Linked DNA regions of Elephas maximus indicus. The protein of the gene in region 2 binds, or shares a complex with, the protein of the main gene of each other region. Links are inferred from orthologs where the notes say so. Each region holds a gene or a part of one and is shown on either strand. Other genes may lie near its edges.

The links. The genes of interacting proteins can lie anywhere in the genome.
Region 1: the proteins of SRRT (region 2) and NCBP2 are in contact, whole or in part, in a cryo-EM structure (PDB 8PMP), measured with the Homo sapiens proteins. The link is inferred for Elephas maximus indicus from reciprocal best matches to the Homo sapiens genes SRRT and NCBP2. Residues at the interface, in NP_056992.4 of Homo sapiens: Asp857, Arg859, Ala860, Ile861, Val862, Glu863, Tyr864, Arg865, Ala869, Asp874; in NP_031388.2 of Homo sapiens: Ser48, Phe49, Tyr50, Thr51, Thr52, Glu53, Gln55, Lys67, Met71, Leu73, Met76, Lys77, Lys78, Thr79, Ala80, Tyr89, Asp107, Glu121.

Annotation. Positions count from the first base shown.
Region 1 is NC_064819.1:18,463,239-18,470,156, forward strand, and holds the start of NCBP2 (nuclear cap-binding protein subunit 2), read right to left. Parts: upstream 3,010-6,918; 5' UTR 2,926-3,009; coding exon 2,848-2,925; intron 1-2,847. Other genes in the region: protein NCBP2AS2, read left to right, coding at 3,108-3,396, 3,554-3,600. UniProt on the Homo sapiens protein: Component of the cap-binding complex (CBC), which binds co-transcriptionally to the 5' cap of pre-mRNAs and is involved in various processes such as pre-mRNA splicing, translation regulation, nonsense-mediated mRNA decay, RNA-mediated gene silencing (RNAi) by microRNAs (miRNAs) and mRNA export.
Region 2 is NC_064830.1:92,231,856-92,239,040, reverse strand, and holds the start of SRRT (serrate RNA effector molecule homolog), read right to left. Parts: upstream 3,014-7,185; 5' UTR 2,719-3,013; intron 2,536-2,718; 5' UTR 2,399-2,535; coding exon 2,277-2,398; intron 1-2,276. Other genes in the region: TRIP6 (thyroid receptor-interacting protein 6), read right to left, coding at 3,992-4,123, 4,239-4,359, 4,595-4,773, 5,188-5,357, 5,470-5,563, 5,876-6,259, 6,554-6,679, 6,782-6,909 and 1 more. UniProt on the Homo sapiens protein: Acts as a mediator between the cap-binding complex (CBC) and the primary microRNAs (miRNAs) processing machinery during cell proliferation.

The DNA.
Region 1 (6,918 bases), on a different chromosome or scaffold from region 2:
TCCAAAGATTAGGGTTTCCTTGAAATGCTCCCATAGAGACCATTCAAAAACAACAATTGCTTAGATGGTTTACATGCTTATATGGTTTTCTCTGAGTTAGGAGAGCATGTAGTGATCACTAAAAACAAAAGCCATCTCACATTCTTGATGGACTTCCTAATTTGGAAGATAGGATAAAGCCAGAGACAGAAGTGTAACTGGGTTTCCACAGAAACACCTGACAACCCCTGGGAACAAGATGGCTCATCGTGGGCTAGATGTGGTAACTTAGAGGACTTCACAGAAACCAGTGTGGCCGTCTGTGGGCGTTCTCTTCCAGCTTCCACACTGGGGAGGACAGATGCTTGATTAATAGAAGGCCTACCAGCTGACCTGCTCTCAGGCCCTCCTGACCCAGGTAAGGCTCTAACATGAAGCATATACTGAGTTTGGATTTAAGATGACCCTTCTTACACCTAACAGTGGCATTCCAGCTTGGAAAGCGGTAGCTGAGTAAACTCATACTGAGCCCCACAGCACTTTCCCAGGAGCCCTGCATGTGTCATGGTGGTCCAGTTTCCCTCACTCTGAGAATACGACCTTGCATTATTCGTCTCTGAGTGTTTTGCAGCACAGTGTGCAAAGTAAAAGGTCTCGTGTGATCACAAGCAGTGGCAGATTAGAGAAACAGTGAAACCATCCAAAGGAAACTGATTAAATTAATTACAGCACACTGATATAAAACCATGCTGTGCCAATAAACCTGTACATCTCCATGCAGGGACAGGGAACACCTCCCAGATGGAATGCAGGACGGTGTGAAGCGTATGCTCCAAATTGTATTTTTTAAAAGCATGAACTGATAACTGTTTCTACCTGTGGGGAGAATCAAGGGACTGCAAGTCAGACTTAATGTATGCCATCTCACCTAATCCTTAAAACAACTGTATGAGGTAGGTCCTAACTTATTATCCTCACTTTACACGTGAGGAAAAAGTCAGTAACCTGTCCCAGTCCCAGAGCTACTCAGCAGTTATAACTGCAATTCAAGCCTAGTCTAGTCCTCAATCCCACACTGCTTTAGAAAATCCACAAGGGAACAGGCGTTCTTTGTTAACGATAGGTTCTCAAAGCTCTGGAATGAGACATCAGGGAATGTAGATTAACTTTTTATTACTGCTGTTACTGATTTGTTAAAATTATGGTCAGGAGGCAGTTTCACTTTTCTCATACACGTAAGAGATGTCCAAACAGCCAGCCTGTGGCTTAAGACAACTGTGGTCTAAGTGCTTGCTTAAGGTATGATATGAATGTGGATTCCTTTCAGGGAACACTAGCAATTCTGCATGACAGTACTGAACTTTAAGCTTTAAATTGCAGAGATGAATAATAGCAAAAGTCTAATCCTTTCAGTCTGCACCTTGCAGGATGGTCTAAATTCAAGATGGTTATGATGTGGAACTTTCTAAGGTAACAAGAACTGTAAAAGTGGAAGAAGTGAAATCATGCCTCGCACATAAAACCAAAAACCAAACCCACTGCTGTCAAGTCGATTCCGACTCACAGCGACCCTAGAGGACAGAGTAGAACTGCCCCATAGAGTTTCCAAGCAGTGCCTGGCGGATTTGAACTGCGGATTTGAACTACGGCTGCTAACCTCTTGGTTAGCAGCTGTAGCACTCAACCACTACACCACCAGGGTTTCCCCTCGCACACAGTAAGAATTTAAAAACTGTTGGCTGAGTGAATGAATTTAAGATCCTCGTCGGTTTAGCCTCAAACAAAAGTTCCTTTTCCCTGCCCTACGAACACATTGTACACATTCTCCATGCTGCTCTCTCATCCCTTTCTGCCCCTTTCTTCCCAGTCACAAATTGTTATCCCTCTTCTGAATCCTCACAACCCCTGCGTTTGTGCTCACCATTTCTGCTCTGAATTACGATGACTTGCTTCCATTTACAATCCCTACTAGAGGCTCATTAAAGTTTAGAGTGCAGAAACTGACTTCCCCTCTCTCTCTATGGCTTAGCAGGTTTCCTAACAGCACCCAATAAACCCAATGAAAACCTAAATAACTGGATTAATGAAACCGTCTCCTAATTATTCCCGGCACCCCATACCTGCCATTCCTAATACCGAAAAGCCCACAATGAGAATGCAGCTAAATTCTGCAGCCTTCTTCTCTTTCACAAATCTCCTGACATAGCCTAAACTAAAAATTTCCTCTTTTAAAATTCAGCAGTTCTCTGATCTTGACACCCAGACATCCTCTAAGTGCCCAGCTTGGCTGGTCCACCTCCCCATCCCTAGGGTTCGGGCAGGGCTCAACTCCCATCCAAAGCGCAGAACATGGTAGAACCTTCCTACAGGCAAAGAAAAGGGGTCAAAGCGCCAAAGGCTATTGTTTCTCTCATCGCATTTTGAAAAGCAAGCCCTGGTAGCCGGGTAAGGAAGGCGCGCCTCCACATACTCCGGAGGCAAACGGACAGCCCTGCCCCTCATCTCAAAACCACCTCCCCGAGGCACAGGCCCTGAAAATGAGAACCACCCCTGCCGGCTGCTGCTACTACCACTACTACTACTACTACTGCCGCCGTCACCACTACTACTGCCTGAACACTCCTGCACTGGCCCGGGTACACGGAGGGCTGCAAGGGAATGAGAAAGCGAGCCCCAAACTCCCTTTTTAGACAGGAACTGGCTTCAGTGAAATACAAACACCCGCCCAGTACCCATTCCCTGCTTCCCCGGGCAGCACTGCGGCCTCACTTCGCTTCTCGCGACACGAGCAGGATGAGAGACGACACAATGAGATTAGAGCAAACCGTTTCTCAGCGTTCGGCCCTTGGGCGGCCCGGTCTCCCTCACCCGGAAGTGCTGATCCCGGTACTGGCTCAGCTCTACGTAGGAGTCACTGCGCAGCGCCTTCAGGAGGCCACCGGACATAGCGCAAAGAGGTGGACGGCGACGCCGCAACTCCGAGAACAATGAAACGGCGGCGGCGACACCGGCGGCGGAACCGGAAACGCGCGGAGGCGGCCGCCGGAAGCAGAGAGAGCGGGAATGCTTGGGCCCAATCCGAGCGCGGCAGTGTCGTCATCAGACGGCGCGGGCGCAGACCCGGTCCGATGTGGGGCGCCGCCGACCGGAAGGCTAGAGCCACGTGCCCCGGGTTCCGGGGAGCTGCGGAGAGGATGGTGTTTCGGCGGCTGCTTGCAGCTCTGCTGCACAGCTCGCAGCTGGTGGAGCGTCTCTCGGAGTCGTGGCCCATCCGGCGTGCGGCACAGCTCACGGCCTTCGCGCTGTTGCAGGCCCAGCTGCGCGGTAAGGAGGCGGCCCGGCGCGCTGCCCGCTTCAGAGACGCCTTCAAACAAGAACTGCGCCGCGGCCTCCGGGACCGCCCGGGGTCACCACCAGGTAGCCGGAAGGGCCCGGGCGCAGACCCTTAAGACCGGGCTGGGCTGGGCCGAGGTCGTCCGCCCTCGGTCTGGGCTGTACATCGGTCTCGGCGCTGCGGGGTCATTGCGGGCACTGAGCGCGGCTCCGAGTCCTGACTCCGATTCTCGGCCTACAGAGGTCATACGCATTAGAGAACCCAGACCAAACCGACAATCTCTCTGAAGCTATGCAATCGAGTGATCGTTCAGGCACAGTCTGGAGAAAGACTCTGGAGCCCGACAGAGATAAAGACCCGTGGACAGAACCACAGCCGGAAAGGGAGCTTGTCCTCTGCAATCGGGACCAGAACTCTTGATGGATGCTGTTGTCTCTGCCCTGATAGAACACTACTTGCGGGGAAGATCATCGATGAAAAGACAGCCCTGCAGGTGCCAAATTCTCTGATTAAATGTGTGAGCTGATTAATGAGTCTGAGTGTGGTGCTTCTCAGGTAAGATGGATTAGGAATCCTGGGGGTATAGGCTCATAGTAATAATAGCTAACATACCGAGTGCTTTCTCTGTTTTGGCACTTGCTAATTGCACACTGGGTGAGATACCTCCTTTACTACCTACGATCACTTTCTTAAAAGGAAGTGATTACTTAAGTTGCCCAAGGCCTTACAGAGGGGGGACGTAAACACTGGCAATTGACCCCAGGGCCTCTGTCCTTAATTACCACGTACGCAGCATTTACCCTGACCTCGTATGTTCCCACCCACCCACCACTACCAGACATTGGGATAATGGCCCACCGGGGAACAAACTACCTGTGTTCCTAGTTCCCATTTTAGAGTATCTGGGATACAGACTAAGAAAGATTATGGTCCAGCTAATGAACCCGTGATTAGGAAATCTGTTCTGTACAGAAATGCCCTGTCATCTGAGGTACCTGGTTGATTTTGATTGTAATGAGCCTACACAGTTAATCATGCAATCTAGAAAGCTTGAAGCCACAGGAAAGGCTTTTAAGCTGGTGACAGACAATTTATACCCTGGCTTTTCTGACGGGCAGGGAGAGTGAGCTGCAAAGGTCCTAGACACCTACCCTGGGGGGTTCAAACTCATGCTTGCAGGGGTGAAGCAATGAATGTTTAGGGGACTCTGAGAAGCTGGAAAGCCCCTGACCCATCTGGAGGGGTAGCAGCTACTCTGTCAGCTAGTTTTGCGCTGTGGGACTGTGGCCTGGTGGTGCTGGACCTCCTATTTGTTTCCTAGGAGAAATCTGGCTCCTTTATTACTTCAGGCCTAACAAAATGGCTATGGGCTACCATTTTCCTACCTCAGCTCTGGCCCTGTTCTTCTTTGAAAAACGGTGTTACACAGTATGGGGGCATAAAGGCTTCCTAGCCATGTTTTTTTTTTTTTTAACTTTTATTGAGCTTCAGGTGAACGTTTACAAATCAGGTCAAACTGTCACATATAAGTTTATATACACCTTACTCTGTACTCCCACTTGCTCTCCCCCTACTGAGTCAGCCCTTCCAGTTTCTCATGACAATTTTGCCAGCTTCCAACTCTCTCTATCCTCCCATTCTCCCTCCAGACAGGAGATGCCAACACAGTCTCAAGTGTCCACCTGATACAAATAGCTCACTCTTCATCAGCATCTCTCTCCTACCCACTGTCCAGACCCTTCCATGTCTGATGAGTTGTTTTCGGGAATGGTTCCTGTCCTGGGCCAACAGAAGGTTTGGGGACCATGACCGCCGGGATTCCTCTAGTCTCAGTCAGACCATTAAGTATGGTCTTTTTATGAGGATTTGGGGTCTGCATCCCACTGATCTCCTGCTCCCTCAGGGGTCCTCTGCTGTGCTCCCTGTCAGGGCAGTCATCGATTGTGGCCGGGCACCAACTAGTTCTTCTGGTCTCAGGATGATGTAGGTCTCTGGTTCATGTCCTAGCCATGTTTTATATTAGTATTGTTTTTGTGCAGGCAGCCCTGTTTACTTTTCATTTTTATAGTTCTTCTGCATCAGTGTCAGTCTGGAAACTTTTCCTAAGAAAAGGACCCTTCTGGCCACCTTTCTTATCTCCATTAGTAAGGGATGAGGCATGGACTGCTACCTCTGAAACCGACAATGGAACCTTCTCCCACAGATCCCCTCCCAAACCTGCATCAGGCCAGCTCTGCAAGTGGACCCAGTGCGATTGCTTTCCAAGGTACAAAAAGATACCCCTGAAATAATGCTGCCTGTACCTACTGGGCTAGTTGTCTGTCCTTTTTTTCTCTGAGCACTACCTGGCCTGCCCATGGGGTGTATTTTCTACAGCCTTGTTTTTGTTCCCTGGCCATAGGAGATGGTTCAGGGTGGACCAATAGGATGCAAATGCCTAGAAATTTGGCCCCAAGACAGAATTGCTGGGAACCATGTTAGTGGCTATGACCCAAAGAGAAAGTCTCAAAAAGTCTGCTGCCAAGGGACCCTCGTTCTGCCCTTTTCAAGTATCAAACAACTCCAGATTCTGGGAGATAAACAGTATCCTTACACTAAAAGCTTTTCTCCCCCAGGTTAGTTCTATTACTTATAATCCAAAGAGCGTTAACTAAACTGGGAAACATTTCACTGTGAAGGTAAGAAATAGATTGAAAGTATACCTGAAAAAGAGTAGAAATAAACCACTGAAAGTGGGACTGTCAGTGAAAGCAGAGGGATAGCTATTAAGAGCGCTGGCTATTTGAAAGGTAAGGGTGATGGAGGAACTTAACACTCAAGTGTGGAGGGGAGATTGCCAAAATTAGCCCTATTTCCTTTGACCTGAGAAGGTCAAAGGAGGTATTCAAGGTCCTGCCCCATCCATGTTTAAAAGGAACATACTTTCAGGCTATAAATACAGTTATTTCTCCTGAGAATGGAGAAACTAGCTTGTTCTAATGGTCAGTTATTCTTGTGAGTTGGCATGAGGTGGCATCTCACCCTCCAGTCTCCCATTAGAGATGCTGCAGTTAAATACTCTCCAAGGCCAGAGGTTCCCCACTGCTAATGACCAAAGTCCTGGTCTGGCATCCCATCCTTCTGTCTGAGGGGCTGTCAGATCCCCCCTCTCCAGGGCATGTGGGGTTCTCCTTGGAGTCTGAGGACCTCTTTGGTCTCTGGATGAGTATTAGCAGTCTCCAGCCCAGCCCCACCCCCAGCATAAACAAGCACACTCACTGTTGAGTCTTTTAGTGGTGGGACCAGTGCGGGAAGCAGTGCAGGAAGCAGTGAAGCTTCCAGACGAATTGGCCACTTGGAAGGGAAGGAAGCAAGAGAAGGAGGCAGTTCCTTATTTTCCCTGGAGGAAGTGTACAAGGACTATGTTTTCTCTGTTTTTGTAGAAGGGATCTGAGAGCACACAGAAAATATGGTCTTTCTTTCTGCTCCAGCCCAAGGTGATTTGGGCCATCCCTCCCCGCAGTGGCCTGCCATTGTAGCAGTTCCTCTATGACTGAAGAAACAGACTTCTCTCCGCCACCTCCAGTGGTGGCAGTCTCCCAGCATGCTTTTTCAAGCTCTTCCAA
Region 2 (7,185 bases):
AAAATTTAGTATTTATTCACTTATAGAAGAAGCCCTAGTAGCACAGTGGTTAAGCACACAGCTGCTAACCAAAAGGTCAGTGGTTCAAACCCACCAGCTACTCTGAAGGAGAAAGATGTGGCAGTCTGCATCCATAAAGATTTCGACCTTGTAAACACCATGGGATAGTTCTACTCTGTTCTCTAGCGTTACTACGAGTCAGACTCAACTCGACGGCCATAGGTTTGGGCTTTGTTTGGTTTATTCACTTTTAAATTACATTTAATATAAACTACATGTTTGTGTAAAAATTACTATTATCCAAAACATTTTAGTGAGAAAATGGCATTGTTTCATATTTTACAAATCTCTTTAAGGTCTAGTTTAACAGAAGACAGGATTCTATTATTTGCTTCCACATTCAAATCTATTGTGCCATGTTGTTTTGGTCGATGTATATGCAGAAAATTCAGCCTCACACTGATATGTAATTTGAAAAGGGAGTACTATGGTAGGCTTTTCAGGTAATTACGGATAGCGTTCTTTGATACTTCTTAAAACAAGGGTAGTTTTAAGGTTAGTTGCAATGTGGCCTCTGAAATCTTATCAGTGAACTCGTCGGCTACGTTATACTCTGCTACGTTAAAATCCACTCTTCTACCTTGCTCTTTCAACGACTTTTGACACATTTCATTGAACAATATAAAAATAACAAACATTACCAGCTATCTCAGACACGTATCGAGAGTCTAATAAAATTAATCACTGTGACTGCTTCATCAGGACCAGTCTTCAATGAAACTGGCAGTGAAGAATACAATAATGACTACTGACACAGTTTGGCACCACTGCCTTAATTTGTGCTAAGGTGCCAGGAGTTTTATCCACCATTGCTATAGCACCATCAGTGCAAATGTCACTATAGTTAAAGTTTCAGTAATACCTTAGTATTTCTATAGTTTTAACCTCACAGACATCTGAAAGGGTCTCGGGGACCAAGGGCCTGTGGACCGCCATTTTGAGAATCACTACTTAAACCAAGCCAGAATTTGTACTGTTTTCTGCACACAATGTACATCCACAACTCCAACATACTCCCTCCATCTGTGTTTGGGGAATTCCCCCATATTCTTCCATGTCTGGCTAAGTGCCACCTCTCCCGTAACCAGGACAGACCACCCTGATACCCTCCTTTAGAAGGATTTTCCCTCAGTGCTTTTTATGATCTTCTTTTATATATGCTCATTTGCAGTATAGCCCCAAGGCCACTCCAAACACTCCTTAAAGGCAATGACTACATCTTATCCATCTTCAGAACTCCTTTCTCTTCCAACATTCTTAGAAAATACCCAGGAAAACAGGGTGGCCAGGTAGGATCTCCACAGCTAAGAGATACGGTGGGTGGCGAGTTGAATGATTAACTGAACTCTTTTTCCCAAATGATACTGATGAATAAAAGTTATCACAATAAGTCACCGCGAACTCTTTGTAACAGTCTGTTTCCAAATGGGGCCTGCCATCAGCTCACTGATGTCAGCCGCTTAGATTAAAAAAAAAAAAAAAACCACCTGTATTTCCAAAAAACAATAAACCTTGATTATTTAAAACCCTATCAGAAGTTTAAGGTAAATACCCTAACTATAATTAACTCAAAAACATCCCAGCAACCTAATCACTAGCATATTCAAACCTAACCAATTAACTCAATTAGCACTGTCCAAAGAACTCTTTTTGAAATTTTAGGCAAAACAATTACAAGAAATTTTATCATATCCTGCCAGGGAACTAAGCGGTCTTACAATCTCCGCAGTGAAATCAATCCTATAATAACATTGCTTCTGCATTAACGTTTTGGAGGTATAATTTACAAACGATAAAATACACAGATTTTAAGTGCACATATAAATATTACTTCTTTATACTTAAACTCAGATTTTCAGGATAGTTCAAAAATCAAGCATATAAAAAATCAATTCAAACAGTATAAAGTGTTTACGGAAGAGAAGGTACTCTTGGGAGCAATTCAGAATGACACTGACAAGGATGCTGATAGAAAAGCTAATTTCTTTTCATTTACAAAATGCTTCCAAAGTTTAAAAAAAGACACATGCTTTTCTGGCTAACAACAAACACGATGAACCGTATGAAATTGCCGTTTCTGTACACCAAGACCGTCAAGTATCATAAGTTTAATTAAGGTTCAGCCTAATAAAGTCATAGGAGAAAAGTTAATAACAGGGGATTGTAAACAGAATGAGACTGGAAAACAAAACAGAGAAAAAGCTTAAATGTCTCACCGGTCATTCCAGTCGTCCCCTCGACGTCTTTCATCTCTTTCCCGAGAACGGTCATAGTCGCTGCGCTCTCTTCTAAACTTGTCCCTGCGCCTTCGATCATACTCGTCATCACTGTCACCCATAGCACGGTCTGAGGGGGCCTGAGGCCCAGGGAGGAGTAGTCAAGATGTTGATGAACAATGACGAGAAGAGGAAAGGCTCGCCTCCCTCCCGCAAGGGCCTGCCTTCCGCTGCTCCCGCCATCCTAATCTCTTTTTCCCTGGCAAGTGGATGAAATGAAAGGCTCCGATACTTCCGCTCGCCCCACGGGTCTCCCCGCCCCACCCATGGCGGCCCAGGCCCGACAGCCGCCTCCAACGGCTCCCCGCCGGCCCTTGGGCCCGGGTCCCTGAGTCTCGCAGCAGCGCGGGCCGCAGGCCCTGGCATCCGCCCCTCCCCCCACCTGGGATCGGTCGCGGCCGTTGGCCTAGCGCTCCGGCGGGCTTCTTCTCCGGGCGGCCCGGGCCCGCGTCTTCGCTTCTGGCACGCGACGAGAACAACGCGCGCGGTGAGACCGAGACGCGAGGATCTCAGCGGAAGGAGTCGGAGAGACTAGAAGAAAGCAGGGCGGCAGAAGATGGGCAGTCGGCGCGCGCCGTTCACACCGCGCTTGCGCCACTTGCCGAACGGCGCTAACTACTCCTTTCGCGCCGAACTGGAACTACAGCGGACGATCAGGGCTAAGGCGGGGAGAACAGAAGGATGATGGGAGGAGGCGGGGCCAGGAGGTCTCGCGTGTCTTCCTGCACGAGAACTGCCAGAGCGAGAAAAACTACGGGAGTCGGGCAGAGCCAAGCTTAGCCGCCGTGGTAGCGCCTTTTGGGCGTGAGAGAGTGTTCTCTCACGTGTGTCCGGGGTCTAAGACAGTTCGCATCCAGCCGTTGCCCTCCGACCTGATCTTTTTATTTGGGGTTCCTTCTGACCTCATCGAGAGTGGCTTCGCCCTTTGGGCAGGGCAAGGGCATGGGCTTGGGGAGTGTTGGCCTTAGGGGAAGAGAGCAACCATTTTAAAGTCTCTCCTCCCACCATTTCGTGCTCCCACACAGACCGTACGTGCTACCTGCAAAACCCATTGTTCCTGCACTTCGACAAAAGTGCCCACTTTTAAACAAAATTGGCAGATCTGAGCGTTATCTCAAACCAATAGTTTCATGATCATGGTTGTGTAGAGGCCTGACCAATAGGCAGCATCTTGCCTGCCCCCAGATTAAATGCACCACCACCCAAAATGGATAACTCCAAGTCCTTTTTCAATTATTTGAGTATTAAGGCTTAATAGGGAACATTGCTTCTCTAGAGCATACTGCAGCCTTGCTCCCAGCACTGAGAGGAGGAGTATCTTTACACTAAAAAGAACAGTAGAATTGCAAAAAAACTGGACCGGGACTAAGATCAGGTTCGAATTTTGGTTTTGCCATTTGGGAAGCATGCCATCTGGGAACCTCACTTCTCAGCTCTAGAATTCTCACAAAGAAACAACAAATCAGGATTGTATCTGAGGCTGCTATGAGAATCAGATGAAAAAAATAAACTTGAAAGTGTTTTGTAAACTCTTGCAGAATTATTATTTCATAATTAGAGGAAGAAGAGACAGCATTTGGTGACAATTGTAAAGGTAAACATCAGGGAGGGTGGTCGACAGGAGCAGAGAATGCAGCAGATGCTTCTGGGAAGACTCAGCAGTCAGTGGTGACAGTCGCTGAGAGCTCCTGGATGCGCCAGGCGCTGCAGGACTTGCACAAGATGTGTCCGTCCAGTGGGTAGCAGCCTTGACACTCACCCTCAGAGGAGAGCAGCAACCCACACTCCTGTTGGGAAAGAAGCAAGAGCTTTCCATCAGCTTTTAACCCCTGGGTTCTTTCTCCCTCAGGCTTAACCATACCCAGCACCCCAGACCTGTTCCTCTTGCCCAGGCCCCCTGACCTCACACTTGTAACAGCCAATATGAAAACTTCGATCCAGAGCAACAATTCGCACAGTCTCCTCCTGCCCTGGCTCAGGCATGATGGCCCCGCCACATACTGAGCATCGTGGAGCAAACTTCCTAGGGTGAAAGGGAACTAATGAGGCTATCAAGACCGGAGTTGAGGGGACTAATGATGGAGCCCCAAGAAGGTGGGATGCCGGAGGAAACAGGAGAGACCAGAGGTATGGTCTTGGATACTGGGGAAGAGAGGTATACCAAAGAGAAGGAGGCAGGTCCAGGGTTGGAAACAGGAGTAATCGATACTGGGGCATGAAACAGAGGTGAGGGAGATGGAAAGGGTTATCATGCTGACCTGTGGAAGTCCTCAATGCAGTGGATCTGGCTGGTGGCATCCACCGTGAAGGGGATGCCATCGAGGCCACGGTGACACACCACACAGGTGAAACAGCCAGGGTGGTAGGCCTTCCCCATAGCCCGAAGGATCCGGTCCAGGATGGGCTGGGAGCACATGGAGCACTTCTCCAGGGTGGCCTGTTGGGAAGGGGAGCAGGAAGGTCAGGGGACCCCATGGTAGCCCTTCAGGCATCCTGCCAGCCTACCCATCTATTTACCTAGCCTCCTGCATGTGATTCAGTGAAAGGTGGACCTGAGAGGATGAGTTCAAGTCCCAGCACTACAACTTACTGGACAAGTCATTTAACCCCTCTAAGCTACAGTCTCCAGTAAAAATGTCATCAACGATAATACCTGCCTCACAGGGCTAATGTGGGGATTTAATTTATTCCCTTAACTCTAAAATGCTTCACACTTGTAAGGAACCATTGTCTTCCCCCTCCAACAGGTTCTAGTTCTCCAACTTTGAGTCCTTTTCCTTTTTGGGGCTGGCCATCTGGCTCCCACCTATCTCCAGCTGCTGACTCCAGCCACCCAGCCCGAACCACTTACCACATAGCAGCTCTCACAGTACGCCCTCCTCTCCACAGCATAGAAATGCTGGCCCTGAAGCTGGGCCCGGCACGTAGAACAGACAAAGCAGCCAACATGGAAGACTCGGTCAAGGGCGACCACTCCGGCCCCATCCCCCACCACATCTTCTCCGCAACCCCCACACCGGCCTAGGGATAGTGGGGAAAAGGTCAATCTACACAGACCCAGAAGCCAGACCCCCACATCCTCTGCCTCTCCAGTATCACCTCCCCATGCTCCCACACTGCAGAGGCAGCTCACCAAAGTACTCCCCGCTGGGTGGGTGATTCATGTCATGCACCAGCTTCTTGGTCAGCCTCTCAAGCTCCTCCTCTGGAGGCTGGCTCAGGGGGACCTGGGAGGTGGGAATCAGGGGTTTGGTCTTACCTCTGGACTTCTGGCACTATAAAAATCCCTGTGTGTGACATGACATGCGATTCAACCCAGAAAGCCCATTTGAGAGCAGCTCAGCCCAGGACCCAGGGGAGAGCCTCGAGGAGACACCAGTGCTCTACCCCCTCTCTGGCCTCCCCCACACCCTTTGGGAATCCAGAGCTCTGACATCCCCGACCTGTGACTCTGCTCTAAAACCAGGACATTAAACACCATCCTCACCCCACCCACTCAATATCCAGTTGTCTATAAAATCCCAGTGCCGTGGACCTACCTGGGACCCGTACCTGCCTCCTCTTCCTCCTCCTGCAGGGCCAGGGACCCTGGCAGCCTCCTCTTTACCCCCTGGCCCTGGCTCCCGGTGGCTCCTATAGCCAGCCCCCCAGACTTCACCTCGGCTGGGAAGAGGAAAGTGGGGCCCCAGGAGGGGCCTAGAAGCCTGAGAGGCCCCCCGCCTGGGTGGGCCACAGCCTCTCACTGGTTGTGCCACCTTCACCTGCACAGGGAAGGCAGGGCCAGCAGGGGTGCTGGCAGTAGCATAGGAGGCCGGAGTGGGACCTCCATAGGGGGATGCTGGGAGCTGCAGGGATGGAACACCCCCTCCGTTCGGCTTCAGGGAGCCCGTGCGGTAGGCAGGGGGCTGAAGGGGCTCATAAGCCTGGGGAGAAAGAGACCACAAAGAGTAAGGAAGGCCCATTCCAGGTCACACATCTGTGGAAACCCCACGTGTGGCCCCAAGATGGGCAACTTTTGAGGAGACACTGCCCTCAGGTGGCTGACTACCTAGTAAGCTCTCTGGCCCAGGCTTCTTCATGCTGGGCGTACATCTCTCACACAGGAGTAGGACGGAGGTGGGTGGAATTCAGACTGAGAATCAATCCAGGGAAGGGAGCAGGCTGGAGGTGTGGGAAGCAGGGGACAGTAAGCAGGGTTAGGGAAGGGGAGGAGTCACCTGTCGGTCTGGTCGCCTTGGCACGTGACCACGACCCCCATCCAGCTCAGCCAGCATGCTGGTCAGCGAATCTATCTCAGCATCCAGACTTCCTGGGCCCAAGCTCCCTCTATCTAGGGGGAGCCCCTGGAGATGGAGCAAAAGCAGGGAGATGCAAATCACAACGTCTCCTCTGCCTCCCCGGGTCCCATTCACACTCGACTCATGCCCCCCACTTCCAGTATTCACCTGCGGGCGCTGGGGTGCTCCATGGGACCCCCCCCAGGCTGGCCCCCGATCCTCTGGTCCCCCTCCGGCCTGGTAACACTGCTCAGATGGGAGGGGGCAAAAATTGACTCTGGGGTGGGGCTGGAGTGCTGGGTTGAGGGGAAGAGAGACCAAAGGTAGGGATGGAGAAGACGAGGGGCGCCAAGAGGGCCCCGCCTTTCCCTCCTCCTCCACCTGGGGTCTGAGAATGGGGGCAGGCAGGACCTCCCAGCCCGCTTGGGGGAGGGGGCAAGAGTGGAGGGAAGAGGCGAGCGCTGGGCAACCGGCGGCCCCTACGGCCGCACCGCACCGGGGCTGCCTTACCTGCTCCGTGGGCCACCGGTGGCCCTGGGGGCCCTCGAGGGAACACTCTCCCCTGAGGAGCT